Linked DNA regions of Lonchura striata. The protein of the gene in region 3 purifies or fractionates together with the protein of the main gene of each other region. This does not show direct contact. Links are inferred from orthologs where the notes say so. Each region holds a gene or a part of one and is shown on either strand. Other genes may lie near its edges.

Region 1 (8,247 bases), on a different chromosome or scaffold from region 3:
TTTTGACATGAACATACTTTTGTGTCCATCACAAATAGCTGGCACCATCACTTCCTCATTCTGTACCTCCACACAGAGAACATACTTCAAAATAAACAGAAGGAATAATGGACTGTCTCTGATATAACGAATTTATGGAGCTCAGGTTAAACTGAGGACATCATCCCTGGTAACCTATGGTTTGCTATGACAGCCAATGATGTTTGCATTTGCAAGAGAAGTTTTGTCTAATTTAAGGAGTAGGATATGAAAGCACCTGATTTCATTGCTGCCTGGTATTATGGTGGACTCTTCATGAACCATATGCTATATGTCTGCTGTCCAGCACAGGAGCTTTTTAAATTAATATTCCTCAGAGAGGTGATCTGATATTGCTTTTGCAGGCAAAGAAATGGGTCTGCTTTAAAAATAACCTCTTATATGAAATGATGCATCATAGCAATCCCATGCAGAACAGCAGCTAGGAAATTATTCCATAGCAACGGCCACATCTTAATAGAAGATCATCTCCTGGACATCTCCCTCTGCATTTCTGCAATTACCAACTATGTCTCCTACCATCTGCAATTATATAAAATCCCTCTGGCAAGTACAGCTATTGCTTACATGGAAAATTAATGTAGTGGAGCAATGGGACCTAATAACTAAATATAAGAAATGTGAGTTATTACTACATTACTATCTGCCAAGCTTTACACCAGCTACCAGGAGCCATTGAGCTGATCATTATGTGAACTAATTTTGAATTCTTTGACTTAATAATATAAATCATAGCTCTTGGATTTAATATTATCTTTGCACAATAATGCAGAACTTTCTCCTGCCACTTGACATTAAAAATGCAGCAATGCAAGAGGCTGCTTTCAAAATCAGAAAGGAATTAATTGATCTGCTCAAAGGACAATGTGGGAGCCAGGTTATGTTGGCAGCAGCTGTGACCACAGGAGCAATGGACAAGTGTGCCTGGGTACTCCAGGGTGCATCAGGCTTGTTTCAAAGCACACTTCTTCCATACTGCTCAGAAAGAGGCATTTAAGTTTCCTGCTGCCCCTGCGTCATACTGCTGTTGGGCTATTGGTTTTATAAATCAAAAAGCACTTTGATTCTATGTAGAAGAAGCAGGTTTTGAAGTGATTTATATGGCAGGTTAATATTATCCCTAATCTACAGATTAATAATGATTTTACAAACTTTGGTCTTTTTTTGTCCCAGCATCCCTTGACTGTATTAATAACTTCCTACTCTGGTTTTAGAAGGTGCAGATATCATAGTGGCTCTCATTTTCATCTTAAAAATTTAAGACATTAGGCTTCTTTTTTTAAAAAGTGACATTTTATTTAAAGTACTTTGAAAGCAATTAAACATTTTCTGACAGTGGGTATAAACATTGATAAAAAATTCCATAACTGACATTTTTCTAGAAGAAAGCAATGACAAATGGCATCCATGTTTGAAAAAGTTGCACAAATATCATCTTGGGGAAAACAGTAAGACGTCGCCTGCCTAAAAAGATTTGGAACAAAGTAAATTATTGGTACTAACCTATCTCTGTCTACCAGCCTAGGAAAGAAATCTTAGACATCCACTTTTTGTGCTCTGGAAGTATTAATCTCACCATAACATAGCAACACCAGTCAGCACTTCTGCCACAGAACAACATGCCTGGCAATTAATAGAGTTGCCAGTGCCTTGACAAAGTCGAAGCAGGAGGAAATGTTCTGAAGAGGGAGGATATCCCAGTTGTCATGACTTGGATGTCAAAGCAAAGATTGACTGTTTGAAAATTGAATTAATCCTGCTCACCTGTGGCAGATGAAGAAAGGCTGAGTGTAAAACAGCAGCTCAGTCCAACAGTTAGCTGTCAGGTTTTGAACTGTGCTGAAACCAAACTGCAATTCTCTGGTGGTCTAGATAGAGGAGATAAAAAGGGATCATTATGATCAATGGCTCTGACCCTGAACCAAACAGGTATCAAACATACTGTGCTTCCAGCACCGTTTGTGGGCAACCTTAGTTGCAGAACTTCCTGATTTTGATTGCTAATTTTGAGTAACAGGAAAGCTGAGTTTCTTCAGAGTGTCTGGAAAATAGAGGGAAGTGAAAGCAAAGGCCTGGCCCACACACATTCAAGCCCTGTGGTGCGTCATTTCTCGGGATGGTAACGACACCGGTGGATTACAGCAACCTGCTGGAAGGCCAGGGTGAGCTCTGTAAGTCACAGCCAGTACTGCCCTGGGACAGGCAGTAATTCTGTGGGTCACTTTAGGAGCATGAGCACTGAGTGGATTTGGTACAGTCACTGTGCCCCTGTGATGGTGAAGGCAAGAATGCCACTAGCATGATGCACAGTACAGGTATATTTATCTGTGTCACTGTAAGCTGAAGTTAAGAAGCATGGATTAGTCACATAGTCTGCAAAGACAGAGGAGGCTGAGCAGCTGAAGGAGGTTCAGAAAACCCCTTCTGAGAAGCAGGTCATGTCTGAGGAATCTGTCCTTTTCACCATGTGAAGTTTGAAGGAAAACAGCAGGTATCTGCTGGTTAGGTATACAACATCCTGAAGGAGTATTTCAGCAACCTGCAGTAACCTAGCACATGTATTCTCACTAGCCAATAAACATACAACAACAAACAAATACCAGTGCCAAAAGAGGTGACACATTTAGAATTAGAGTAGCTATCCCAAACTGAAAATGCTTACCTAAGTTTAAGAGGATTACCCCCAGCCCTTCCCAGGCTGCTCTCTGTCCCCTCCCAGGTGATATTTGCTTCTCCACCACCTCTGTTGCATAAACAGTTAAATATTTGTATTCTCAATCATTTAGAACTTTCTTCTGCAAATAGTCCCTTGATTATAGATTCAGTGTCAAAATAAGAGCAAATAAATGTAAGAATATGAACTGTTTATATTAGAAATAAAGGCAGTAGAACCCTGGAAATACGCTTTTTATCAATTTATAGATAAATAAATATATCACAACTGGCAAAGAGAACAAAATCTAAGCCAAATTTGTTTTAGTGAGGTAGTTCATGTAGTGTAGTTTCACAGGCTTTCATAGAAACTTCAAGACAGTCACAATACATTGTGTGCTTTCAAAATGGGCACTCCTTGTAGATCCAGCAGATGTTCAATATAATAAATCTGTGTTTTGGTGGGAGGTGAGCCAGTCAGTGCTAACATTACACATTATCAACAGCAGTTTTCATACTAGCATCCTATTCCACAGACAAATTGTTCAGGCCCTCTGCAAACTCAGGCAGCTCTCACTCCAGAAATTCTCACCAATTGAGAAGGCTTTGAAAGATAAAATTGGAAGTTTTGAAGGCTTTCTTCAAAAGCATAAAATCCATAGACATCCTTTCAAGCCAGACAAAATGAACAATGATAGCAGAAGAGCACAGAAAGCGACCTTTGGGTTGTAAGGGACCTTAAAGATGATCTAGTTACAGCCCACAAGTCCCTACCCCTTCCATCAATCCCATCAGACAATGTTGTGTGTTCTTCAATTTTACACAGGCCTTTGCAGCTCATATCAACAGATATATCTAGGGGAAGGTTGGCTTTGTGGTTTGGGTTTGTTTTTTTTGTTGGATTTTTCTTTATTTAAATAAAGCTTGTGTGGGTGACAGGAAAACAGTGTGAAGAGCCATGCACTTGAGCAACACCAGCTCTGCTGGGTACTCTGCACAGCATACAGAAAATGTTACTGCGTGGGCAGCACTACCAGCAAGGAAAAAACAGAGCGGGACAACGAGGAGGAGGAAGAGGAGGAGAAGGGGGAGGTGGGAAGGAGATGATGTGTGTGGATAGGAACACAGGGAAAGCAGTGTGTCCTCAGCTCGTAAGAGCTGTGGCAGATGGCCTAGTAAGAACTGTATCCATATCCTTGGGTTAAGGGCAACCAGGGTACTTACCCAGCAGAGAGCCTTTGTTAGGCAAAGCTGCACCACTGCAAGACATGCAAGGTACAATCAGCACCCAGGGAGTGCAGTCAGGACTGGGCTGCATTTGACCCTGTGGTGCACTGAGAAGTAATGAGAGATGTCTCCGGAGACACTGAGTTTAGCTATGTTAAAAACCAGACCAGGTCTGGCCATTTAGATGGATGAGAGCACCGCAATTATAATGCCTGAAACATTTTTTGAAAGGATTTTCTCAGACCAGACACACATTTTACATAGACTGCTCCCGCTCCCCTGTTCTTTCTTTTTCTTTTAAACCCCCTTCTTCCTTTCTGTGTTCTATTTTGTATGACAAAGGTCCTGTGATGATATGCTGATATTCAGCAAAATAAGGAGAGCTGGAGCTCAGAGTGGCTGATGAGAAGAGCAGGAGAGAAACTCCTTGTAATCTAGTAGTAATGGCATTATGCCACTTGTCACCTGGTACAGTTCTACCCATGAAAGAACAGCAAGGGACACTGGGGAGGAGGCTATGGGCTGGCATTCTGCTTTGGGTACTGAAGGAATAGGATGCTCCATTCAAATGGCAGTAGCACAACAGTCTGGGAACACTAGCAAGCTAGGAATCTTCCAGAACTTTAAGAACTCCAGTTGCTTCTAGTCCCACCATTATAAAAACAGAGGCAGTCTGTTGTGACTTGTCTGTCCCGCAGCCAAGATCCACTGTAGCAACTCCTCTTTTCCACTGGCAGCCGGTGGGCAAGGCAATGGGGAGAGGCAGGAGAGAGGTGGAAAAGGGAATGAACCCTCGGTCTGGCACAGGGTGTGGGGGCAAGCAGCAACCCAGCGCTCCCAATCCGGCAAGGTGAGCTCAAGGACATCCGTGTGGCCCACGCACAAACGCCTCCAAAGGCTCCATCTGGGGCCTTGGTAAAATGGCACTGAGCCATTTTTGTATAGCACGAGGGAGGTGCGTGCCCCTCACGGAACAATCCAGCTGCTCGTTCTCTTCCCTCCATGAACTTCAATCTTCGGAGACCACAGCGCGAACGCCTCGTTCAGACCTCCCCGTCCTGAAAACGTGGGAGCGGAGGCGCCTGCACACAAAGGCTGGGCCGGCAGCAGCTGCGGAGGCCGCGGTGCCGAAGCGCAGCCCCAGCAGGGACCGGCCTTTTCAACAGCCGGGCGGGCGGGCGGCAGGGCCGGCAGCAGAGCCCCGGCAACCTCCGGGATGGCGGCACCGGCGGCCCAGCCGTGAGGGGATCCGTGAGAGGATGGCGAAGGATTTGAGCGGAGCGCGGGGAGGCCGTGAGGGACGGTGAGGAGCGGCGAGCCGCGCCGCCAGGGGCGGGCGGTGGATGTGACGCGCGGCGCGCGGGGCATTGTGGGAGCTCCGCCAGCCCGTCCAGCCGATCCCGGTGGCCCCGCGGGCGGAGCGGAGCGGCGGCAGCGGGGACGGCAGCGGGGACGGGAGCGGGGCCGCCGCCGGCCGACCGGAGACATCTTGCCCGCGCCGTAAGTCACCGCCGTGGCCCGCCCGCCGTGGGCAAGGAGGGGGCGCGGGGCGCTCTGTGGCGGCGCGGTGGCACCGGCGGGGTGGGGGGGCAGCGAGCCGGCCGGGCGCGCCGTGGGACGGACGGGAGCCGGTCCCCTCCCCTGAGGAAAACCGGGAGTCGGCTCAGCTGCTTCTTGCTGCGCCTCGGGTGAAGCCGGGAGATCCACCCGCGCCCCGCGAAATGGTGGCAGCGGGGCTCTGTTTCCCTGGAATCCGCTGTGGAATGACGGTGTGGGGCTGGGGGAGCCGCGGGGTGCAGAGCGGCCGGGGCTGGGAGCCGCGGTCCCGCGTCCCGGCTGCTCCACGCACGGACGGGCTCCGTCCTTGTCGCTCGCACCGCGGGTCGCCGAGCACGGGAGGATAATCGAGGGAGACTGCGAAAAACACAAGGCAAAAAACAGCAGGACTCGTTTTCCGTGTGTTTCACTTCGGGATGAGGAACCCGCGGTGTAAAAGTTACCTGCCTCGTTTGGATGACTTAATTTTAAAAAGCCTAATGATGTATTTTAAACCGTAAGCAGAGGCTTCTGAGAGTAGTAAAAATAAATGTTTGTCTGGAATCAGGGCTCCTTATTCTTTTAGGACTGTCACTTCTTGTGGAGGCTGCAATATGTCTGCCTGCGGGATTTGAGCAGCCCGTGTGGACGGGCTGGGGGTGGGAGTTCCTCCGGGGGCACCGCGGGTGCGGCCGGGCAGGTGAACGCGGGTTCCTGGGGCTCCCCCGAGTGCTGCAGGGCGCAGGTTCCTGGGGCTCCCCTGCATGCTGCAGGGCGCAGGTGAATGCGGGTTCCTGGGGCTCCCCCGAGTGCTGCAGGGCGCAGGTGAGTGCGGGTTCCTGGGGCTCCCCCAGTGCTGCAGGGCGCAGGTGAATGCGGGTTCCTGGGGCTCACCGCGGGTGCTGCAGGGCGCAGGTGAGTGCAGGATCCTGGGGCTCCCCCGAGTGCTGCAGGGCGCAGGTGAACGCGGGTTCCTGGGGCTCCCCCGAGTGCTGCAGGGCGCAGGTGAACGCGGGTTCCTGGGGCTCCCCCGAGTGCTGCAGGGCGCAGGTGAACGCGGGTTCCTGGGGCTCCCCTGCGTGCTGCAGGGCGCAGGTGAGTGCAGGATCCTGGGGCTCCCCCGAGTGCTGCAGGACGCAGGTGAACGCAGGTTCCTGGGGCTCCCCTGAGTGCTGCGGGGCGCAGGTTTCTGGGGCTCCCCTGAGTGCTGCAGGACGCAGGTGAACGCGGGTTCCTGGGGCTCCTCCGAGTGCTGCGGGGTGCAGGTGAGTGCGGGTTCCCGGGGCTCCGCACCCGCTCCAGCTCAGCAGCGCTGGGACTCGGACTCCAGGCTGACGTGTTGGTGCGTGTAGGAGACAGGGAGGGCAACAGACTGTTTCAGTGACTTGCATCTCCCTGTAATCCTTTTGTTTCTTCTGTAATATTTAAAAGTTGTAGAAGGCCCATGAAATTTTGCCTGAAGCCAGCTAGTTGGAACTAGCTCCTATGCTAGCAGGGTGGTGTAAAGCTGAGGTTGCTTCATTTGTAGAGATGGAAGGAGACTTGTTGTTGAAATATACTTGGATGAGACTTGTTATTTATCTCTTGACCGTGCAAGTGAACAACCATTTTTTCCCCAGGACTGTGTGTGGCTGTCACTTAGCAACAGGTCTGTAGAGAACTTGGCAGATCCACTGCCTCCCCCATTCTGAAGAGTAAAAGAAATAAATTAGCAAAGGAGCAAGAGTGACATTAATAAAAACAGTACCTGGGTTCTTAGGGACAGCCCAGAGCTGAAAGACTTATGTTGGAGCAAGACAATTACAGTTGCTTTGAAAATTATGTTTTAATGCAGTTGGGTATGGAAGATTTTGCATCAAACAGTCCCTAGAAAACTACTCAGTGTATTTGGGAGTTTGGAGCTTTTTTTTTTTTTTAAGTGTTGTGAAAGAAAGGAATTAAATTGTTTACTTAGTAATGGTTACAGGTTATTTTGTTGCACTGTGTTTCATAACCTTTCACACTGAAATCTAGACCTTCTGGGTTTTTGAACAGTAACTTTGCTTTTCTGTGTGTGCTGCTTCTGATTGCCAGTAAAGTCAAATGTTGACAGTGTAGATTAAGCCATAACTGATATGAAAACTAGTGGTAAGACTAGAATTTGGCTTAAAGTCAGTAAAGTGCTTATGCACTGCTTATTTTGTAGATCAGCATGAGCAAAAAGAGAAGTCCACCACTGCAAGCTTAGTCTTAAAAGAAACCAGTGTGTTTAAATTTGTTCTTAGGAGTTGCCTAGTTCTGCCGGTGCATAGCAATGATCATTGATAAAAGATATTTTCTTGATAAGGTAGGTGATAGAATCACACTCTGGAAGTATAGTCATGAACCTTTGCTCTCAGAGAAGTACAGAAATATTTTTGTGCAGCTCTGTCAGCTAGTTTCAAAGCTTGCTGTCTGTTCCACAGAAAAGGTAGTCCTACCCCATGTTGGAATCAAAGAGCAGGGATCTGTAACTGATGCCACAAGTGGAGAAAAGAGCCTCCAGACAGTTTCTCCATTGGGAGAGGAAATTTTGGCCCTGTGGGTAGTGCTAAGCATTAGGTTTTGTCATCTCAAGAGGTAAAATTGGAAAAGAAAAATAAAGCACTCATGGAAAGACTGCAGGGCTGGCTTGTTTGCTTGCTTGGGAAGGATGCTGTGAGCACATAAAGAAGCTGTAGTTCCTTACCCAGGCCCATTCTAAAGACAGGATGGTCAGGATTCAGCTCATGGTCCTTGTTCCAGGAGTGATGCAAGAATCATTCATGACCTCCT
Region 2 (7,167 bases), on a different chromosome or scaffold from region 3:
CAAATGTTTAAAAATTAATAAAAATTACTTTGCAAGTAAAGATTATGTTGATTATTGTAAACCCCCTTAAAATTATTACAGAAGAACAGTTACAATCTTATTCTTTCAGTATGGGAATGTCTGCTATGGGGAAATTGCCCAGATCAGATCATAAATTGTTATTTACTGTTCCAAAGCTTAAATATGGGATGCAGCATAAAGGTAATTTGAAGACATATTATATTATGCAATTAATAATAATCTTATAGGATAGGATATATTGTCTACTTATTTAACCATTGGAAAGATCACTTTTGGTTAATTAAACTGAAAATTACACAATCTGCTTATAGACAGGTAGTGATTTATTTATAAATATTACAAAATGTATATGTAGTCCAACAACCATAATGAAAACCACAGGTAATGTTCTGTACAAAGCATTTTTTTGTAATCTAAAAAAATTCTATGGGTTCTGTTACGTAAAGTAAAATCACACATATGTGGTATAATGGAATCATAGATTGATTTGGGTTGGGAGGGGACATGAAGACCATCTGGTTCCAACCCCTGTAGCATGGGCAGGGGCACCTTCCACTAGACCAGGTTGCTCAAAGCTCCATTGTACCTGGCCTTGAACATGGCTGGAGATGGGGCATCCACAGCCTCTCTGGGCAACTTGCTCCAGAGCCTCAAAATCCTCATAGTGAAGAGTTTTTCCCTAAGTATCTTTTTATTAAGAGCTTTAGTCTACAAAGAATAGCTGCTATGCCTGATGAAACTCAAAATCAGAACACTGGTAGAGGAAGTAAAACCAAAATGATGAAGCTGTTACTGATCATAGATGTTTTAAGATTCTGCTTTCTTTTGTTTTGATTTTGTGTTTTTAATTTCTTTTCCATCCACTACTATTTCTTGAAGTTTCTCTTCTTAGTATTGACCAAACACTAGTAGACCACAATTCCATTATGCCATGACTATGAGAACGTATGTTCCATCAACCTGTACACTTTATTCGCATCTTTCTTTTTTGTGATGGCCAAGAGGGACTGAGGATAAGTAGATAAAGAAGTAAGATTAAGGACAGAAAAGTAAGAGAAATATTGGGAGAAATGGTAGGGGAAAAAAGAAAAGTTGTTCTAAGCCTGGAACAAATGCCACTATATCATAGATAAATAACGTTGACAGCAGGAGGTGGCTTTAAACTATGTTCATCCTGTTATTACAATACAATATGCATCACTTGAAGGTTGCCTTGGTAAGTGCTTTTAAGATGTCTGCTCAAACATAAACTTTCCAAAATATGTCCGATTATTCCTTCTCAGTTCAAATACAGTTGACTGTTTTTTGAGAAAATAGTCCTCCATTACAGCCAGAAGGATGTCACTCTTGTTATAAGGTGATAAAGAAACTCTTGGCTCAGCTTTGTTGAATTTATCTACTCCCAGTCAATACATTTGACATTTTCTAGTAAGGTTACTGACATCAGGCCTGTCCATGAAAGAAGTGTCCATATAAATACATATGCTTCAGTTCTCTGGTGCTCATGAAGAGATTTTACTGCTTAGCATATGAGCTAATGCTAACTCTTTCAAACCATAAAAATAATTACTCTATATGAATTATTCTTAAAAGTAATCTGAATGATACATGGTTCTACAGAGGAAGAGGAATTTACATGGTTGCCTGAACTTTTTGTCCCTTTTCCTGATGTCAGTTGAAAAAATAAAGGAAAAATTATGGTGTATTTAATTACTTTTGGCTATATTTCAACATATGAATTTAAAACTAAGGTTACATGTCTATAGGGGGACAACAGTTCTGTGGAGTTATAAACTTTATTATATAAAAACATTTCATATAGTTCCAAGAGTGCAAGTGAAACCATTCAATTTTGTTTGAGCTGTGTTACCTAAAACATTAATGAAAATGTTCTATTGCTACGTAACAGACCTAGATAACACTGTTAGGTAATGTCTCTTGCTATAGCAGCGGTAAGATGCAAAGTATTCTCCAGTTACTTTTCATACCCCAGATTACTAAGAGCAATAGGTTTCTCTTAATGTGTTCCTAATTAGAAAAACACTTGTTTTCTACCATGCATTGCTAGTGCTTCAGTCCTCTTGAATTTCTTTCTGAACTCCATGAGAACATAAATGCTTATGGATAAGCACTGTTGTAGAACAAAAGGCATCTTCCTGAGATGTATGACTAGGAATGTCGGCAAATTTGTAATATGGAGGACAACTTAAAACAGCTTTGAATTTTACCAACCTAGATGATATTCCAGGCTAATGATGAGGATGGTCAGGAACTAGCTGACTTGATGGAGTGAATGGGATTCAATGTTGAAATTTCAACAGCTTTCTGGTTACATAATTAGTCTGGTAGTGTGATACTGCAGATCAAATGTTTTATCAATTTATAGGGCAACTTTGATACCTTCAAAATGGGTGATGATGCATGCAGACATGACACTTTCCTCGTTGGCAATGGTTGTATTAGAGTGCTTTGCCATCAGCTCACGTAATTTTTTGCAGGCAAGCTGCTGCCAGCCCTGAGGGAACTCTGTCCCTCCACACCAAATAGCCCTTCCAAGCTTCATCTAATGAGCAGTATGTCTTGCAAAAAAAGCGCCAAAACCAGCAAAACCAAATCCACATTAATTCCACTCAACAACATAGAGTAACAGTGCTGGAGAAGCTTTTGGCTTGAGTTGTTGATTGGAGCTAGTGTCTCTGGGTGGCATCATTGGGAAGAAATTAGATGTATTGTTGTGACAATGGACGATAGAAAATTTTCTCGTCTCTCCCACACATGAAAATTATTAGCCAAACACATCAAAGGTGGTGGAGAGAGGAGACATCCCTTCAACGACTCCTGCGCCGCTCGTGAGGGAGGCTGTCCCTCAGGCTGATCCCGCGGGAGGCTCCAGCTCCCGACTGGAAATGGCGCCAGCCGCTGAAACCCAGCGCCTTGCGCACGCAAGAGCCGCTCTCTCCCCGGGGGACGCTGCTGCGCATAGTTGACACGGATTGATCCCGGCTAGAGAAGGCAGGGCGGGCATTGCGCTGTCTCTCTCTCCCTCTTCTGGGCAGAGGAGGATGGGTAGATGGAGCAGAGCGGGACCAGCGCGCCAGACGGTCCTCGAAGGAGCGGGCGCTGGTGCCATGGCCAGCGACGGGGAAGGAGCCGCGCAAGGGAAGCGCGCATCCTCCATTTTGGCGAAGGGCGGGCGGAGAGTTGGCTCCCGGCGCCTGGCCGGAGCAGTCGCTCCCACCCCGCGGCATTGCCGGGGGCACCCGGCTCCTTTTCCCGCGGGGAAGCCGTAAGGAGGCTGTTCAAATGGACGCCCCGCTGCGCCTCACGTTGGTTCGAATTGGTACCAAGCTCCCCGCAGCGGCTTCCGACAAAATGGAGGACGCCACCACCACTGCCACCACCAACACCACCACCACCACCATCTCCTCCAGGAGCCATGTCGGCGGCTGATATGGCGCCCTCCCCCGCGGCAGGCGGGGGCAGCAAGGCGTCCTCGGCTGAGGAGGCGCTGCTCGGCGGGGCAGGCTGCGGGGACGCGGGTCAGGCGCCCTCCCTAGGAGACGCGAACTCTCCCTTTTCCCTCTGGGAACGCTTCCATTACCCATGCTCTATCCACCATGGGAATGACCCCAGGTTCAAAACCCTGGTGAGGGGAAGGAAGGAGCGGAGTGGGGCCCTTTGGAAAAGCACTGCCAGCCCCTATGGCTCAGCGCGGGGTCCGGAGTGGGAGAGGAGAGCCCGCGCCCCACGGCCGTAGCGGTGGCGCCCGCAGGGAGCGAGCGCACGGCCGGGACGGCTAGCGCACCCTGCCCGCGGCCGGCGGCGCGCAGCCGGCTCGGCGGCACCGAGAACTTCTGCGAGTTGCCGCTGTCAAACAGCGGCGCGGGGAGCGCCAGCGCAACCCTTGGGCACGGGTAACAAGCCGGTCAGTGGGCAGCGATCCGGGTTCCTCAAACCTGATGGATCAAAGTGGGAAGAACCCCAAGCATGGCCAAGAGGAAGATTGGCAGTTTATAGGGTCAACCGGCTGCGGGCGGCTCTGATGGATGGGCGGCGCACCCACTCGGCTAGCCCAGCGCCAGAGCCCGCCCTCTGGGAAAGCCAATGCCGGGGCAGGGAGGCGGATCTCCCCGAGCTCCCTTGGCCCGGTTCCTCCTCCTCTTCGCCAGCGGCTGCGCTTCGCCCGGGACTGGACCGAGTTAGAGTTGAGGCGCCGGAGGAGTAGCGCAGAGTGCGTGCGTCCCCCGCGGGGGGGTTCGTGCCCGCAGGCGGTGGGGAGCCGGGTAAGGCGCGGACACGGGGCGCTGCGCCTCACCGGGGCGGGCTGGCGGGGGGCTGGCAGCGCTTAGCTGCCCCCAGGGCGGGGATGGGAGGGCAACCGCCGTGCCTCACAGCTACCCGGCCAAGTACCCCGCGGTGTCGCTGCCGCGCCGCCACCTCTGGCGGCGGGGATGCGGGCGGCACCGGGGGCAATCCCGCGCATAACCATCGCGCCGCGGCGGGGGGCGGTGGGGAAAAATGGGGGGCGCCCGGGGGCAGCCCCGAAGGGGGGGGGCAGGGGTATCTGGGGGAAGGGCCGGGTCTGCTCTAGCGCCTCCTATTTTAACTCTCTCCGTCCCTTCCCCGCCGGGCCCTCGGCTGTTGTTCTGCCCCTGTGCCTCCCCCACCCACCGCCCTCGCAGCCCCCCCGCGGGTACCTCCCTCCCATCCTCTCCCCTCCCCTGCCCGGCGCTCCGCGGCTCCCCTCCCGTATTGTTCGGCTGGGTCCCTCTAATGGCGGACAGGAGGCGGTAGTGCCGCTGGCCGACTGCAGGGGGGCAAACCCGAGACCGGGGGCAACTGCCGCGGGGGGCGCGGGCGCTCGCCCGGCGCCGGGGCCGTGCCGCTGAGGGCCCCGCGGCCGCTCCGGGCGCCGGTTCGGGGCTTACAGGGCAAGTTCGCAGGTAACACTCGCTGCTCCCCGCCGTGGGTGCCGCCGCTGCCTCTGTCCCCCACACTCGCGGTAGAAGCCCCCCGGTGTGGCGGCGCCCGGGGACAGCTCCTTGTCCCTCCTTCCTTCAGCGGGGACAAGCTGCGTGGGTGTGCCGTGAGGTGTACCCCACCGCCCCCGGCGAGGGCAGTAGATTTGTTTGTTTGTTTATTTATTTGAAAGATTGGGATTAAAGGGAAGTGGTGAGTGATGCAGGCAGTACCTGCCCTGGCCAGGCGATGGAAACGCTCCTTGGGGGCGCTGCCTGATCCTCGCTGCCCCGTGTTAACCCCATGTCTTTCCCTTAGGCTCCAGCCCAGTTTGGTGCAGCCTTGGCAGCGACCAACAAGGAGAGGGAGCTCCATTGTGAGTGCTATTTGTGTATCTGTTTCTGCCTTTGCCAGACCTCCTAACAGCGGGCTTGAACCATTCCCCCCGCCCCGTATTCTCCTGGGGCAAGGGGTGGAATGAGGTCCCTCTAGGGCTGGGTGGGGAAATTCCTGCGTTCAGTAGCCGCTGCCCTGGGGCGAAGCCCCAGTAATGGCTGTGAGGCGGCTCCTCCTCGGAGTGGGCGCTGCTGCTGCTGCAGACATCGCTCCTGCAATACCAACTCCGGCAGGCAGACGACGGGCTGCTGCCGCTGCTCACGTTACCCGGCTCGGGAGGGAGGAGGAGGAGGGCATATTTCGGGTGCCCTCTAGAGTTGTGTAGCGTGCGTGAACACCCGTGACAAGACACCTTCAGCCATCTTGAATTTTTCTCCCCTCCTCCATTGCTCGAATCACGTGTCCCGCGTATCATCTCGAAGCTAAGAAGAGGCATGGGAGGTTTAAAATCACCCAGCAGTTTGTAATGGAGAAGCACGCTCCATGGTCTCTTTGTGACTGGTTCACAGACTGGTTCTCTACACCCGCAGATTTGTATGGGTGGTCTTGTTGGGTTTCTTGGCTGGGCTTCTGAGCCATCCACTTTGTCCCTTCCCCGGGAAGCTGGAGGACACTGGTGAAACCCACAGGTAGCGAGCATTTTTGGTGTTTTGTCTATGTGGAATTTTGAGAGCAGATTTTGATCTCTGTTGGGTGTTAGGTTGGCTAAGGAGAGGCTTGTTGCCTGCCAATACCTGTGGGTAGGACTGGGATATAACTTGAATCTAGCTTCTACCCTTGTTAATATTGGGGCTGTATTTTTATCTGCATGGGGGATTCCGAAATGGCCAAGTAGCGCGGCGAAGGAGCGAGTGAGGGTGCGAGCGCTCGGGAGAGGCTCGGGAGCTGCCGCGGCGGGCCCGGGCGCGGTGCGCGGGCTGCGCCGCCAGAGGCGCCGGCGGCAGCGCGGCGGCTCCGCCAGGAGCGCGCAGCCCGAGAACAAAACAAAAAGGCAGCGCCTCTCTCGCCCTATGGGTCCCTCGCTTGGTTACAGCACGGATTCAGGTGTTGCGGTCTTCCCCAACACTCGTATCTTGGATTTCCCCCCCGCCCCGTTTCTGTCCCTTTCTGTTTTACATTTTCCAGATTCGCAGAGCTTGCAACTTTCTTTGTCACTTTTTGGTGGCTTACATATACAAAGAATAAGTCGTTCGCTGCAAAGCCTCACTGCTTAGGATGAGGACATCAGATCTCTATTTGTTCTGCACGTATAAAATTATGAACTGCATCAAAGACTTGTAAGAGTTTACATGGCATGTTATCTTTAATAAAGTTGTCTGTTCCAACCCTTGACTTGCTACAGCAGCTTAAAATTTTGAACAGTAATTTTTAAATTCTTACCATATCTTGGATGCAAGGCTACCATCTGATTTTACTTCTGATTCATTTTTTATGCATTCCAGTCTAATAGCTGTTCTTTTTTTTCCGATTATCCTTCATGTCAAATAAAGTTACTTTAAGGAAATATCAAGGCAAATGATGCTTTGGAAGAAGGGAGACTGTTGTGTACTGGAGGTGGTAGGTGGCACATTGTCCTCCTCCAGCTGCAATGATGGTGGTATAGCCTTCTTATGGCATGTGATAGGACCATGCTGTTCGGGGTATTTGGTGCTTAGTGCTGCAAGGTCATCTCTAGGAACCAAACTCGTCAGCCATGTTATTTGGTGGTTAAGCTAAGTAACTTATTTTAATAGAAGTCTGTCTTAATTAGAGCAATAAATTAATTTTATTATCTACTAAATTGGCTTTATA
Region 3 (8,216 bases):
TCTGTCAGATTTTCTAAAAAAAATAAGTCTTTCTTCAGACATTACCCGATATAGAGGACATCATTGAGTTTTCTCACTGAAAGCATGAATAAATTAAATTGATCTGTTTCTGCAAACAATGACCACTGGAAAAGTCTATATACCAGGCATTCTAGCCAGTCACCAACAAATGGCATTTAAACTAAAAAAATAGTGTGAGACATCTAAGTTCTTCTAAAGGTGAATGTGTACCATTTTCCTTAGGTCTCTTAAAACCTTCAGTACAAATAGGAAAAGTTAATTACTATGCTCTCATTATACTATACCTACCATTGCAGTTTTCTTCTAATCCACCTTCCTACTCCTAACAACTCTTTAAAAGGTAAGATTCTAAAAGAAAATATTTGAATATTGATGCTTCTAGCCACTTATTTAAAGACAAGCATTAGAACTATTGAATTATGCCACTTTCAGTAAAACCTGTATCTGCAAGTTTATGTGCTGTGCACTGAAGACAGAGTTTTCCTGGCTATCAAACTGCCAGGCACACAACTGCAGACGGAACCAGTTTCAGGCAATTGCAGAGACAATCAGAGAATGGGTACATCTGTCCTAGGCACAATACGAAACAGATTAATTATATTTACACACATGACATAGACATGAAGACACTGCACAGAAAAATGATAGGCATGTAAGAAAATATACTGGCCTACTACTGTTTAAAACTAAGTCATTGCCCTTACTATCAGCATGAGCATTCAGGAGCAGGGCAAGCTCCCCCAGTTCCCAAACTATTGCATAGCACTAAAACAAAATCACTATTACTCTTAGCAATTTCCAGCAGCAATTAAGGAAGGATATTGAGCAGCCTTGAAATTCAAAAGCAGTTGGTAGATAGCAATATTGTCAGTGCTTACTGGGCAAATAAGCTATCTGAATCTGAGCAAATATGAACCTTTTTTTTTGTTTAGTTCTCTTTATCTATGTTTTCTTTAATGATTTTGACATTCTACATAAAGTGATTTCATTAGCAAGGTATTTGCATGATGAAAACTATGTTTTCTTCTCAGGAAAGTGACTCCAAAACTTTATTTACTCTTATGCTTTCCAGAGCTTATCTAAGGCCTATCAACAGCATGAACAGAACAAGTCAAGAGCATTGTCTGTGATTTTTCTCCACACATATATGTCTGTTGATTACAAGCTTGCAGCTGTGAATGGTGCTAATAGGTATCACTTGAAAATGCTGCTTTCACAGATAAAAAGAGGGTGGTAGGAGAAAGGAATATGGCTAGGGGTAAGGGAGGTGGGTGGGGTGTGCTGAGTTGTGCTTAATGGTATAAGCTGTAACTCTTATATGAGGAGTTGAATTTATGAATATATTTTGTATGTTTCTCTAAACTAGTTTGGATTGTTGGGGTTTTTTTTTCTTTTATTTTTGATTTTATGGTCTGGAATGAGGTGATCTTAAAGACCCTTTCTGGCCTTTGCTAATACAGAGATTCATCAATTCTTAGGTGAATAATTTTCTTTGCTTTTTAAAGAGAAGTTTTGTTGTTTCTTAATGGTTTGTTGGTTGATTTTTAGTTTGGTTGGCTGTTTGGGGTTTCTTTTTTATTTGCTATAGATTTCATTTTCAGTTTTAGTGCATTTTTTTTTCCTGTCAATTTCATTAGTTATTGAGCTCTGTTAAAGAGAATTAAGGTGGCTATATCGACGTGTGTGCATGGGCTTTAATAGTTTGGATAAGAAATAAGCTTAGGTGATGGCAAGCTTTCTAGCTGTATCGTTCTGCTTTTAGATTATGCAAGGAGAGAGAAAGAAGGTGAATTGTTCATCATTTCATGGTGTGCAAAGTAATACTGCTTTTCTATAGCAGCAGTTAAGAGAAAAAATAGGTGCTCCAGATCCTCCATTTAAGCTCTGTTTTAAAAATACCTTTAGTTGAGTGGAGGTAGGGAGAGTGAAGGGATTTGAGAATTATAGATTGCTTTTTGATAAGAACAGTAAAGGGATAAACTGTTACTTATAGAGACCTTCTTGTCCATTATTTGCCTCATCATTTTGTGAGTTTTTACAGTAGATGTGATTTAGGATAAATGTGTAAGAAATAATAATACTTTCTATTGCAATGTTGGATGTATATGTTGAAGATGAAAGTTACTCTTCTGTTTAAAAGATCCTTATTGCTGCTTTTTATGTCCCTTCCCAAAAAAAACCTTACTATCTAAGGTATAACATAAATTCAGTGTGAAATAACAAGCTAATGTTAATATAATGATGCAGGGAAAGAGTGAAATAACGTTAGCATTCACCCAGTAACAGAAACAAGCCATTACAGGAAGGTAGAAAAAAAATAATCATTACATTATAAAGTGTCTGCATGTTGCAACATAGTAAAAGTAACAGCAGCCTTTCCCAGTGATACTTTGTTATCTGGTCTATTCAGTTTTCCAAGGGGCCTGGGCCTCAGCTGGCCGGTGTGGGTGTCTGTTTACCCCACAAGTGACGCTCCGAAGTTTCCTCTCGATCATTAGCTTTTGTGTAGCATGCTGTTCACTTAACAAGCAGCTTTGAAGACATCTGCAAAACCTGCATTGCTAGAAGCGGGACTGGTCTAGGAAATCACCCTCGTATACACAACCCGTGAAACTTGATATTTAAGCTTTACTGACCTTTAAATGTAATAGTGTCCTTACTGTCATACTGAGCTACTGTGAATTCAGTGAATGAATTCTTACCCCTTTGACAAAAGGATAACTTTATATGCTTATTGACACTTTCTTAATGCAGGTATGAGTTGGTATTCAAGGAGTTTCTCTAAATAAGAGCTGCACTTGCCTAAATTCAGATGTTAGAAGACTATGAATAATTATTTTTGCCCTGAAAGCAACATAGCCTCTTTTGATTTAGGCCATTTAAACCAAAATAAGTTATTCCTATATGAGGTTGAGTATCCATTTGAGACTAATTAAAATTATGAGCTTTTTTTCTTCACATGAAGTCCCTAATAAGAACTTTAACAATACATCACTGCTTTTATTGAATTCCCTATGTGGTGCAATAAAAGTATTCCTGATATTGAGGTAGTTGATATGTTGTTTTACTATTTTGATAGAAAAATTTATCAGACAACTACAAAATGTTGAGTAATTTCATAAACACATTGAATTTTAGTGGTCAAAGAAGCATATAATGCGGTGGTTAGCCAATACAAAATCATGGAGCTTCTGGAGTCCAATCTAAGTCTGTTCAAGTAGTGACAGCACTAAGAACGCTGAGATAAAAAGGAATTTATCAGTAAATGGATATCGTGCCTCTGATAGTGTTATACAGGTATTTTGCTGCACTTCACACCAAGAAACAAACATCAGCTGTATTATAAGATGTAGGAATAAATTTTGTATGCTATGTCTAAGAGAAAAATTTCCAAATGGAATATGAAAAAAGCTCTTTAAAAATGCTATACCATCTGATGACATCGTAACATAATATCCTTTAGTTAAAAGGTGAAGGATGGGGGGTGGAATCCAGGATTATCCTAAGGTGTTTGTGCATGCATGTGCTTAACAAACTTATTTTACAGTTGTCTGTCTCTAATAATATAAAATTATTTTTTTAAATCAATTACAAGGACCCAGACCCCTGTGAGGTACTTCTAGGGGAAAAAGCAACCTAATCCTGGGAACAAAGACCAAACCTGTGTTCAGGCATGTATTGGTTTTGTGTGACATAGGTTATACTTGTTGCCTTGTTTTCAAATAGTGAAGCACATGTGGCAATAACCAGGGGTTTTAGTTACTTTTAGAGACTCCAGCAAATCAACAAACTTTGGTCAAGACTTGGATGAGTGTAAAGTCTGTAAATATAGGCCTTTGGGGTCAGCTGAAGAAACAGTAAACTTTAGTGTAACTGATGTGTACCCCCAGACTCAGTTTATCAGGCATCACAAGTGTGAATCCCTGTATAAATAGAAATACAAGCAAGCTGGCTAAGCATGAATGCCGTCATGCTTCTCCTTCCTGAGTTTGTACCTGAGCCGAGGCAAGGAGAGAAAACGGCTGATAGATCTCCAGAAAAAAATTATTCAGATGTTAAATGCTTCTTGTGTGGCATGCGCTGATTTTTTGGGAGAATTGCTATATGAAGCATGCTTTGAACTTCCTCTAGAACAGGAATACTGAGATGCAACGCCTGCCACTAAGACAGAGTACTGACAGACAGGAGCACTCAAAAAAGCCGAAACAAAACAGAAACGAGTTTTGTTGTGGAAAAGAGTAGACTTTCAGTTGGGGAGGGGACCAGACGCGACAACCCAGCCGGCCGAGCATCTGCAGACGCCCTGATGAGGATGAAGTTCGGGCCCTAGCGCGGCGGAAAGCGCTGCGCGGTTGGGGACGAGGCCCCGCGGCCCCGGGCGGTGCGGGGGCGGCTGAGGGGCTCGGCCGCGGCCCCGGGCGGCGCGGGGCCGGCTGAGGGGCTCGGCCGCGGCCCCGGGCGGTGCGGGGGCGGCTGAAGGGCTCGGCCGCGGCCCCGGGCGGTGCGGGGGCGGCTGAGGGGCTCGGCCGCGGCCCCGGGCGGTGCCGGGGCGGCTGAGGGGCTCGGCCGCGGCCCTGGCGCTGGGCAGGGCCGGGCCCGCTGCGCCCCAAGCGCGGCGGTCCCCGTGCCCGCTCCTGCCGCAGCCGCCATGGGACACCCCGCGCATGCGCCACACAGCTCCGCTGAGGGGCGGGGTACCGCCCCGACACCCGCGGCGGATCGTACCACTGCGCGCCGTGGGGGTGGGACAGAAAATAGTTTTCTCCAAGAATTTGTTTATGAAGAATTCCCACTGGCTTCTTCCCTGGCTTTTGTGTATAACTAAGGAAAACTTTCACGGAGGGGGCGGCGGGAATCCACGTCCGCTCGCGTGCGCCTTCTCCTCTTCCTTCTTTCCCTTTCCTCCCTCTGTCGGCGGCAAATTGGGCGCGTCCCGCTAGCTGCCCCTCCCGCTGCCGAGAGTCCGGCCCGCTCCCGCTGCTGGCGGTCCCGGCGTCGCGAGTTCCCGCTCTCCCGCCCCCTCCTTCCCACCCTCCGAGCCGGCTCCGCGCTCTCCTCGGCTTCCCGCTCCCTGCCCACGGCCCCGACGCGGCAGCCCTATGGCGTACAGTCAGGGCGGCGGCAAGAAGAAAGTCTGCTATTATTACGACGGTGAGCGGGGCCGGCGCGGGAGCGCGCGTGCAAGAGCGGGGGGGGCGCCCCTCTAATGGCCGCCCGGGGCGGGCTGTGTTCCTGGTCCCGCCGGCACGGCCGCCCCCGTCCCGCGGGACGAGGCCCTCCCCTCCCCACGCCCGGCCCGGCCCGGCTCGGCTCGGCCCCATGGCGGGCGGGGGTCCTCGCTGGCTTCACCTGCGCCGCCGCGCCCCGCTCCCGCCGGCGGCTCTGCTGAGCCCCGCGGGGCGGCGGGGCCGGCGTGGTGGAGTCGGGCGAGGTGAGGGTCGGGGAGCTCCCTTATCCCCCAGCCCCGGTGGTAGGTGCTGTGGCCATTGTTTCGCCCCAAAATACTCACCACCCGCCCGCGCGTCGTGCCCCCCCCCGCCCGCCCCCTAAAAAAAAGAGGAAAAAAAAAAAAAAAGAAGAAGAAAAGTTGAGACACTCCCCTCCATCCGCTGAGCAGGGAGGCGTTGAAGCTGCTGCTGTGTCTGGCTCCTCCCCTGCAAAGAAAGTCCAGGCCATGTGTAGCTCTGGCACCTGGTGATTGTTGAGCCGAGGCCTTTCCCTGCCTAGCGCTTTCATGCCGAGGTCTGGGGTACGGAGGGACAGGGGCTCTCTGCCTCCTCCTCCCCCATTCCCAAGCCGAACACGGATCAGAGCAGAGGTCTGGCTCCCACGAGCCTCCCTTCCCGCAAAACGCGGAAAGTTGTGTGCGTGGGTGGTTAATAATAGTGGAATTTGACTTGCATGTAGGCCCTCTGAGTTTGCCACACTGGTGTAGTGGGGACACAGGGGGCTTGCGATCGGCGTTGTCAGTCGTGGCAAAAAAAGTGCTTGGTTTGAGATATTTTCAGCAACTTGTTTGCGGTTTTCTCTGGCCGCAGCACCAAGAACTTCTAGTTTTCTTAAGCTTGAATTTATTTAGCCCTTTTTGTACTGGGAGGTGAGCTAGATGGGCAGATTAGTTTAGAGATTTGATTAAATTGCCTCCTATTGTAACAATCTTGTATGGCTGCATCTGAGACTGGTCTTGGAAATAGTCAGCAAACAGAGGTTGAGGATGTTCAGCCGGAGACCTTTGGTGTTTTCACCATTTTGGAAGTGAAGATGAGTGGCTAAACCCACTCAAGATATCAAAGGTTGTGTTGCTGTAGCAAACCTGCTGTTCTTTGGAAATGGCAGATCTTGTGGGGCCTGTCTTGGCTTTTTTTTTAACCACACTAAAGAAGGCAGAGTGGTGGTTGCCGCCCCCTTCTCTTTGTTGCTAGCAGTGGTTCTTTGTTCAGCCTAAAGGGGAAAGGAGGCCCCTGTTAGGGATACTTTTGTTGAGGCTAGGATCTTACTTTTCCTAGGGAAGAGGAATCACTTTTCGCCTTGTTGAAATAAAGACAGCAGTGATAGTTTATAAGCTTTCTCTCTGAAAATGTTTGCCTTTTTTAAAATCAATTTCCTTTTTTTTTTTTTTTTTTTTTTTATTTGATAAAGTCAGGTAGCTGTAGTTCACCAGATGTTGATACAGTGTTTTTCTGTGATCACTGGATTTGGTACTCGATGCTAGCATTAGATTCCCTAATCTAATGATTAAAGCTATACTTGTGAAGAGTCAGGAGAAACTGGAAGAGGAGCAAGTTTGGAGGTGGCAGGAAAATGGTGACTTAAAGCAGTTGCAGCTTATCTGTAGACTAGGATAAATGTAGTTAATAATGTAGAGAAGATATTACCTGTTGTACCTTAAAATAAATATTTTATATGTGCCAGAAACAGTTTTGGAATATTTTTGATGTCTCATTTTTTTGTGTTGCCAAATCCAACAATTATTTTGCATGCCTTTTGGAAATAGAGTTATTAGAAAAAATTTTAGAGTTAATACCGAAAATAGATATCCTGATGCTACTGTGTGGTTCATCTGGCAATTCTGAATAATACTAACTGTTGTATCAGCAAAGCCATTGAATCACAGTGAACAGAGTGTTTGAAGCCTTAAATAACCCAAAACAAAAAAAAATACTGAGGTAGTGGTATATCTCTAAAGGAATGTCATGTCTGAAGTAAATTACCTCTTTTTTTGGGTCATAATTGGCTCTCCACACGTACTTTTACTCTGTTTCTTAAAAGTTACACACTAAAAGGTCTTGAAAAGTTCCAGAAGCATATACGCTTATCTTCTGAGATGCAATAAACTTCCCCCTGCTTTTTGTGAAACTTGGTATGATTGTCATTTAATGCTGATTTTTTAATTAGCTTGTCACTTCTTTAGAGTGTATTGTTGTTAAGGCTTTTTTTCCTAAATCAATAGTTTTAACAGTCTTCATACTGTATGTGGAACTAATAAACTTTGAGTAGACAAAGCTTGATTTCATTATCTTGAGTTTGCTCGCAATAGAAAGTTAACCACATCCAATTTTGCAGAATCTTCACTGCTTGTGATCATGCTCAGGTCAGGAACTTTGCTTAAATTTAAGCCAGTATACTATGGGAAAAACGAATTAAAATATGAATTTAAATACTTCCATGATCTTGCTTAAAATATTTTTCAGAAATTCTTCTAGTCTTGATACAGCTTAACAAAGTGTGCTCCTCACACTGCTTAGAACCATGCTAGATGTGGAAGGCTATCATAGTTTTTAGTTTACTCTCTTGCCATGTGTCTTCAGGTTATTGTCATGGTTTTGCAGCATTGTGGCTCAGGTAGCTCTTCCAAGGTGTTGTACAGTTGCCCACAGCAGTGAGAACAGACCCCAGATGGTCTTTCCAGCTCTGTGCTCCTGCACAGACTGGCACAGCTCTAGAGAATCGTGCAGCAACTGGTGTGGTTACTGTGAGTTCATGTATTTATTCCATGCCGGTGCACTAGCAGTATTGTTTAGATTGGTTCTTGTGCATAATTTAGTGTGGGTGTTCAAAAGGCTCTACCTTCATGAAAAAATTTGAAAGATCTGCATCAGAGTTTGTTGGTTCCACCCATAAAGACGAGACTAAACCTGTTTTAGTAGGGCAGTGTGTTACTATAGTTGGGCATTGTTGGAGTAGTACTTCTGTTA
Region 4 (7,829 bases), on a different chromosome or scaffold from region 3:
AAAAAGTAGTTCAGAAGAAAATTTTTCAAGCTGTGGTAAGACATGTCAAGGTTGGATTTATCACAAAACCATATTGGATTTTATAGTAAGCTTTTATCAGATGACCTGAAATGTTCCAATTATTTTAAATTCTAATAATTGCATTCAGTTGATACAAGTAGACTTCCCAGGTATCTTAATTCAAGTGTATTTCATGGTTCCTTAGAACTCAAGGTTGAAATGCTATGCAGACTATTAAAAATCAGAGTTTGGATTGTAATTGGGAAATACTAATTTTGCTGTGGGAAGAGCACAATTTAACCTTTGCTCATGGTCCACATGCTGCTGTTCCACCCCCAGTCCGCCCCCCAGAAAGAGCTGGCCAGCAGAAAGTGTCCAGCAGCACTGCCCCCGAGGCTCCCATTGATCCCTCACAAGTAAAGGCACAGATCCCCTGACATCTCTGTCCCTGCACTGGTGACAATCCAAGCAGCCCTGAGACCTTGCTTGCAAATTCGGTAAGGCTGCTGGTTAGTGTGTAACACAGGGCAGCCTTGGATTGAGGCTCAACACCTGCAAATGCACTTGGCACCAGCCAAAATGTTTTTAGTAGAACATTGGAATAAATATATGCAAAACTGGAATTCAATAGTCTGGGTAATTTCTTAGAAATGCACACAGGAAATAAATGGGATGAAACAAAGCCTTTCCATTGTAAATGCAGCATAAAGTGGTTTTAGACAAAAGTATCTCTCTCTTTACACGTGGCAAATGTATCTCCAAAGGTTACTTTAATACAGATGCTTTCCTGAAAATAAATAGTGTAGGATGAACTTGCAATGTTGAGGCAAAATTGTTCCTAAATGAATATGCAAATCATATGAACACATGTTTCAGACAAACCAGATATTGAAGTGGACAGTGCTGCTTACCAAGGTTCTTTGATGTCCATGTTGTGTTCCACCTCTAGTCATAAAGAAACAAGTTGCTTTTCTTGCAGTTATGAGAAGCTAAAATAATGAATTTCATGTTGCTGGTTCCAAACTAGAGATACAGAACAGCAGCAAATGCATAAATACATGGAAAGGGAGATGGAGACGTGGAGAAATAAGGGCTATAAACAGAATAACAGCTGCTGTCACATGTTTCCATTCTGACAGACCTTCAACAAGCTGCTTTGCCATGAATAGTTGCATAGTTTAAACCCCATGATTACAATAATGACATGTGGTAACTGAGTATTCATTCTGCTGCTGCTGTTTCATTGAAAGAAAGACTCTGCATAGAAAACTGCTCTCAATAGCTTAAAATGCCAAAGTGTTTTTAATGATATTTGAGAATCTTTGAGCACACTAACTAAATGGAAACCACATTAGGAAAATTACGTTTATTCAGACAAAAAGAGAAAGGTTTTCTGTATTCTGTGTTGTACAAGTAAGGAGGGTGTTTTTTTTGTTTTGTTTTTTTTTTTTTTTACTGTGGACTACTGTTCATGATAGCAGTTCAGAATATAAGGAGCATCTTCAGACAAGTGACTGTTTCTACTATTCTCCAAACTAAACAAAAACTTTAAGATTTGGTGTAAAGTTCAGTGCAGTCCACTGCAAAAGTTAAGTGACTTCATACCTTAATGTTTAACAACTCTCTATCTCATGATAAAGAGGAAGAAAAAAAAGCCCAACCTCCTACCCAAAAACCAAAGTCACATGGAATGTGTAAATTAATCTATTGAATTCTCTTCACAAGAACTAACTGAAAAGATGCTCCATGAAAATAATGTAAGCTTTTGGTGAAACTATATTCATTGGTAGAAACCCAACTGAACACCATGTGGATTTTTATAAAGTTTCCCACAAAAAAGGCCTAATATGTGAGAATAAAATGTTAGAAGCCTTTTCTAAGGGAACAGTAGGTGCTACTGCTATTAGATAGTTTAAAGTATTGCTATTTTAAGAAAAGCTTCTTTTTAAAATCTGAGGCTGTGGCCTTTTTTTTCTCAGGCAAGCATTAATGTGCTCAGCTGAGCCTGAGGCAGGAGCCAGCCTAAGCCTGGGCTTCCTAACACCGAGAGGCATCAATGCTTAACAACATTGTGAATTGAAAAATGCTTTGTAATTGGGAAATACTCAATATTTAGCTGTACTTGGAGAACAAAGCCAACATTTGTGCCACTTAAATGTTGGTCTTGCCCAGATTCAGAGTAATGGGATCTCAAAGGACTTGTTAGGCACGACTCTGCCTATGAAAAGACTCAGAGGGGACTCAGATTATAGCTATCCTGAAATCTACTGGTGATACAGTAACATTATTAAATACTATAAACTATTGTTATTATCAAAATTACCAAAATCAGAATAAGAAAATAGGATTGAAGCTTGTCTGTATAACCAGTGAATTTTTTTATACAGTACTTTCTTCTTGCCAGTTGAATACTGTCCCATTACAACTTCAATTCTTTCATGGTAACATTGCAAATATTATAATTTAACTCTTCCTATTAGTTGTAATTTTGCTCTCATGCATCCTAATCTTGTATTTTAGATATAATTTAAGAATTCTCTAGATAGTACTTTGGCTGTGGAAAGAACAAAACCCCTGCTGACCATAGCTGACTAATTAGGAAGTTGTTACTTAACCAGGATGTGTTTTATAACCTTTTTCACACAAGGTTGCACAGCACTTTAGGAATTTAATTTCTCAGTTTGCTGTGTTTTGTCAGCACATTGGGGCTGACAAGAGCCCAAGGCTGTCAACTCTCCTAGGGGACACTACAGGAGAGTAGGATACTTCCAAATTGCCTGGAGTGCTGAGCAGAAATACAACTCAGGAGTGCTTCTCTCTCCCACTCTAAGGTGGATTGGGTGTGTGACTTGCTCCTACTTTAGAATTTTTGTTTCCTTGTAAAATTATAGTTGCACACCAAAATACTGCCATGTGCAGGCAGCTGATGTTCCAGGCAGTGGAAACATCTCAGGCCATTCAATTCAGCTGGAGCCTTTGGTGACAACAGCAAAGAAAAGGAGCTATCAGGTACTTAAAAACTCATGTGTAGCTTTTCATAAGATAGAAACATTGCATAATTTTCTTATTTTCAATTTTAAATTGGTGTAAAACACATCTTAAGTGAGGCTTGGTCTTGCAAAGTGCCTCGACTCTGTTAAGAGAGAAAGTAGCTGTACCCTTAAAACTATATTTCTTGTTTTTATCTCAGTGCTGGATTAAGCCTCTGAAATTATGTAAAAGAAATAGTTTTGGACTTTCAGAACACAAAAGTTATATGTTAAAAATTAGAATAACATGAAAAATACTGTATGGTAAATCAGTTTTCTAGCTAGGAACTGTCTTGTTTGCATTCAGTAAGGAAAACATTTTTGTTTTTATGGAGTAGTTGAACAGCTGACTATTTGCTCTATGAAGAAAAGCAGGGTATTGTCATAGATATCTGTGAGCTCTAGTCATTAATTTATTTACAATATACTGTTACTATACTCAGCAGAGCCCCCTGCTGTTATGAATCCTCCTCAAATACCTTTCTGTGTTTGGCTATGTCTGGACCTTATCAATTAAGGAAAAAAAATTAAAAATCCAAATGTAAGCTCAAGGTCCTGGTTGTTTGGATTTGTTCTGAATTCAGGAATTAAATCCGGATGTTGTGCCTACATAGAACATATTTGCATTTTGGCATCAGTCACAGTTTATATGAAAAATAAACCTGTCTTTGTTGTATCTCTGGAGAAACACCTGCGCCAATGGACTGGTATAGGCTGGAGAACAGGGAAACAAATCCACCCTCTGAGTCATAACTGCAATACTGAGGAGGAAAGGAAAAGGGCAGACAAGGCAGTCTGGTACCCGAGCACACAGCCAGAAAACAACATTCACCTGGGAGCCCCAGTGCCCACAAGGACAGCAGGACGTGCCCGTGCCCTCTGCGGGAACCGGGCTCAGGGCAGAGACTGGTGGAAGGGGAAGAAAAACAATCAACAGCTTGTCCTGGCACAGGAGAGGACATTGCGAACACTGTTTGAGTCCTTATTCATCATGCTGTATTCATAGGTTGGAGAGGGCTGGTATGACAATCTGGAGGATACTCGCTAGGACATAAACGCAATTTATGTGTCAGAAATTAACTGAATAGCTGTTCCAATGGCTGTGGTCCTGGTCCTGATAGTGGCCTGGCAGTAGCACACTGTTGTCTGAGGGCATTGTACTCGAAAACATCCCGTTTGTGACGGAACCCTCCAAAAGGCACGGCCAGACACCCGGCTCTTGGACCAGCAGTGCAGCAGGCGATAAACACCCGCCTCTGCTGCGGGCTTGTCTTTTTCTGAACTGAGGCGGACACCGGAGAAGTGGTGTTTGGTGCTTCCTGACGGCAGGGACGTTTCTGTCAGCTCCCTCATTCCCGCTCCCCCCGCCGTTCCCGCTCCCCTCACAATTCCAGCCCCGGGGCCGTTCCCAGCGCGGCCGCCGGGGGGCTCCGAGCGCCGCCCACGCGCAGCCAATCCGGCGGCGTGGGCGGGGCCGGCGGCGCGCGCGCGCGGAGGTGGGCGGGGCTTGTTTTCTGGCGGGGGCGCGCGGGGCTCCTCCCGCTCCTCTCGCCGGCTCCTCACTCCCGCCCCTCACTCCAACCGCACCTCCTTCCCCCGCCCCTCCTCCTCTGGCCGCCCCCTCCCGCTCCTCTCGCCAGCTCCTCACTCCGCCTCCTTCCCCCCGCTCCTCCCGCCGGCTCCTCCCGGGGCGGGCGCTCCGCCGCGGCCGTGTCATCCCAGCCACGGCAGCAGCGAGCATGTCCTCCAGTAGGGCCAAGAAAGTGAAGATGGCCACCAAGTCCTGCCCCGAGTGCGACCAGCAGGTGAGCGGCTGCCGGCGGACGCTGGGCTGTGCAGGGGCGGGCTCGAGTCGGTGTTCGTGTGAACCAAATGGTTGTTGCCTTTGCAGCTTCTGCATGGAATGCGGGTTGAACGCCGCGTCCCTCCGGCAGGGTAGTGGAGTGGTTGTATTGTGCTGAGGGGTGTCTGCGCGACTGCAGAACCTCTTGTTTATGTGCTGGTGTTGTTCAGTAACTCTGTGATGTGTTAAAAACACAATGAACCGGGTGATGTATATAATGCAGTTTGTCCTTTGGATGACTGGTGAGCCCGGGTCTCGGCGGGAGAGGGCTCAGAGGTGTTGTTTTCTCCGGGGGTGGTCGGGGAGCAGCGAAATGGAGACCTTTGGTGCAATTGCTGCCCGGTCCCCGAGTGCCGCCCGAGATGCTGGTGTTGCGGGTTCCTGGCGTGCACAAAATGGAGCTGCTCGCACATACAGAGCTGTGCACCGCTGCCTTGCCGTGTCAGGAGCTTGTCTGGTTTGCTGGGAGTGATGTGAGTGCTGGAAGCAGCCGGTTCGTGCAGCCGAGCCCGAACAATGGCCCGGCGGTGCCGCGGGCTCGGCCGGGGGGCAGCGCCTGTCACAGGGACCCCGGTGCTGTGACCCCGAAAGTCACCCCTCTTCACTGCTTTAGCCACACCTGGAAAAACATAAACAGCCTCATATCATTTTTCTCTGCTTGCAGAGCTTTAGAAAAAAAATGGCATTTTTTGTTCTGACTTGCATAGTTTTTGCAGTATTGCTGCTCATCCTGGCACGGTTGGGAGCGCTGAGCTGTGTGTGGGCGTCCTTTCATGTTTTAACCAACAGAGCAACCGCTGCAAATGCACGTTAAGCACGTCACTGAAATGCTATTTCTGAGAAAGAAATCGTGTGCCAAGTTCTGGTTATTCAGTTGGTGAAAGGAGAAACGAAAACGAGGGAGAAATCATACACGAGAGTGGTGGTGTTTTTCTTTTGTTTTCTTTTTTTTTTATAAATGTAGTGAATGTCAAACTACCAACAATAAGTAAGGAAGCACTGTAGGATTTTTTAAGCTGACGTGAAAACTGTCACTTTGTTCTGCACTTACATGCATATCATGTATTTTAATTTTTGTCAATGTAGATTTTCTGTTAGGAGCTCTTCCATGGCTTCCATGGATTTTATGTGCTTATATGTCCTGCCCTGGCACACATTGCTCATAGGACCTTGTTTTCCACTGCCAAATATTTGAGAGGGAGCAAGGAACTAAGGCCAACAGTACAAGTCAACCCTTTGCAGATTTTGAGGAAACTCATATAATCCTTCTCTGACTGTGTCCAATGCTGGTGTTTCTTAAATGCTTCCATGAGCAAGGGCTTAGCATTTTTTTCTGATTTTTTCAGTAGAAGTGACATTAATGGAAATATTTAGACAGCCACAATTATTGGAGCAAAATATTGAGTTACACTTCTTAGACTTCAAAACATTTTTCTGTTGTAATTTAGATAATAAATTTCAGTATTTTCACAATCAAAGCACAGTTCCATTAAACTAGGGAGCCTGAAGTACTTGTAGGCAATCTGAGGAAACAATAATCACTTTTTAATTTAGCATCAGGTAAAATGTCTTCTATGAGAAAAATTCCCTTTTTATTAGGAAAATGATGAACAATGTGAAATAGTGTTTAGGACTCTTTTGCCTTAATTATGATGCAGGATGTTATCAGTGTGGATCTTCAAAGGATAACTGATAGGTTTCAGTGATAAGCCCCTTCCTCCAGGCCCCTTCACCCTCAAGTGCTGCACACCCCTACGTGATAAACCTGTAACACGAGAACAGTATTGTTCTGTTAAATAGACTTGAGTTCGTTGAAAAATACTAAAATACTGACCCTGTTCCAATCCCCTTGGGTGGCTTTGCCAAAGTTTTGTGGTTTTTTGTTTTGTTGTTTTTTTTTTTTTTTTAGGCCAAGCCTGGAAAGGTAATTATTGGTGAGACCCAAGTGTTCAGAAATGGATTTAACTGGAATTCTGTATCACTTTAAGAACACACACAAATTATCAGTGAGATAGGGGGGCTTTAGTACTTCTACACTGGCATATGAACCAGGAGACAAATGTGCACACAAGTCTGCTAAATTCTGGCCTTTAAAGTTCAAGAAAGCTCTATTGGACTCGTTTTTATCACATCAGTGTCTCCATAAAGGGAGTTAAAATTTCTAGTTCTGCAAAACCCATGTCAAAAAGTCTATCTGCAAGCTTTTTGTAGGATGAAATGCAGGAGTTCAGATGTGCTACAGAAAGCAAAATAACTTGTTTATTTTGAGTAGCAGTTAAGTTCCCCTGTACAAATTCACATACTAATTTGGCAGGGGTTTTTGAGTCAGTGGAACTTTGGAACTTGGTTCTTCCTCATGTCTGGTTAAATTGAGGGGGCAGTTGTGGTTCTGTGCTCCTGTTTGTTCCAGTGGGTATTGGCAAACTTGTAGTGACCTGTCTTAAAGAATTACATTTGAGAAATTGCCTCTTTTTTCCCCTCACTATCATGCTTCAGCATGACTCCACTGTAATGTGTGTTACTTAATCTCTTCCAGATCTCTGCCTAAACTTGCTTTGATTTGTGTTTTCAGTCTTAAACCTAATCAAAGCAACATGGTGTATTGCTTAGTACTCTAAAAGATCTTAAAAGATCTTGGCACTAAGGTAACGAATTTTGTAATTTATCAGGTTTTTTTTTTAATTGCACTGAGTGGATTTTTGTTATTTTTCATATTAAATATGGCATTTCTTGTTTTACATTGTCATTTTCTGGGGGAAGCATACTGCTGCTGTCTGCTTAGCTGATCAGAGGCACTGTATTCTCTCAAACTCCTGGGCCTGCAGTCAGTTCTTGCCTGCCTGGGCTGGGTTATTTGCATTTTCAATTAAAGAGGTCCTTCTGTACCCACCCGGCCTTGTTGCCTTGTCTGCAGCGCTGGAGCAGAGCGGGCTACAGATGCATCTGTTTTGCTTCAG

The links.
Region 1: the proteins of HDAC2 (region 3) and MACROH2A1 purify together in Homo sapiens (affinity purification with western blotting; 3 studies listed by BioGRID, with this or other methods). This does not show direct contact. The link is inferred for Lonchura striata from reciprocal best matches to the Homo sapiens genes HDAC2 and MACROH2A1.
Region 2: the proteins of HDAC2 (region 3) and ZMYM2 purify together in Homo sapiens (affinity purification with mass spectrometry; 7 studies listed by BioGRID and IntAct, with this or other methods). This does not show direct contact. The link is inferred for Lonchura striata from reciprocal best matches to the Homo sapiens genes HDAC2 and ZMYM2.
Region 4: the proteins of HDAC2 (region 3) and C13H16orf87 purify together in Homo sapiens (co-immunoprecipitation; 4 studies listed by BioGRID and IntAct, with this or other methods). This does not show direct contact. The link is inferred for Lonchura striata from reciprocal best matches to the Homo sapiens genes HDAC2 and C16orf87.

Annotation. Positions count from the first base shown.
Region 1 is NC_134617.1:9,010,396-9,018,642, forward strand, and holds the start of MACROH2A1 (core histone macro-H2A.1), read left to right. Parts: upstream 1-5,122; 5' UTR 5,123-5,221; intron 5,222-5,292; exon of another isoform or gene 5,293-5,418; intron 5,419-8,247. UniProt on the Homo sapiens protein: Variant histone H2A which replaces conventional H2A in a subset of nucleosomes where it represses transcription. Nucleosomes wrap and compact DNA into chromatin, limiting DNA accessibility to the cellular machineries which require DNA as a template.
Region 2 is NC_134604.1:72,085,124-72,092,290, reverse strand, and holds the start of ZMYM2 (zinc finger MYM-type protein 2), read left to right. Parts: upstream 1-4,164; 5' UTR 4,165-4,304; intron 4,305-5,298; 5' UTR 5,299-5,356; intron 5,357-7,167. UniProt on the Homo sapiens protein: Involved in the negative regulation of transcription.
Region 3 is NC_134605.1:67,188,499-67,196,714, forward strand, and holds the start of HDAC2 (histone deacetylase 2), read left to right. Parts: upstream 1-4,987; 5' UTR 4,988-5,120; coding exon 5,121-5,172; intron 5,173-8,216. UniProt on the Homo sapiens protein: Histone deacetylase that catalyzes the deacetylation of lysine residues on the N-terminal part of the core histones (H2A, H2B, H3 and H4).
Region 4 is NC_134615.1:9,961,946-9,969,774, reverse strand, and holds the start of C13H16orf87 (UPF0547 protein C16orf87 homolog), read left to right. Parts: upstream 1-4,690; 5' UTR 4,691-4,768; coding exon 4,769-4,834; intron 4,835-7,829.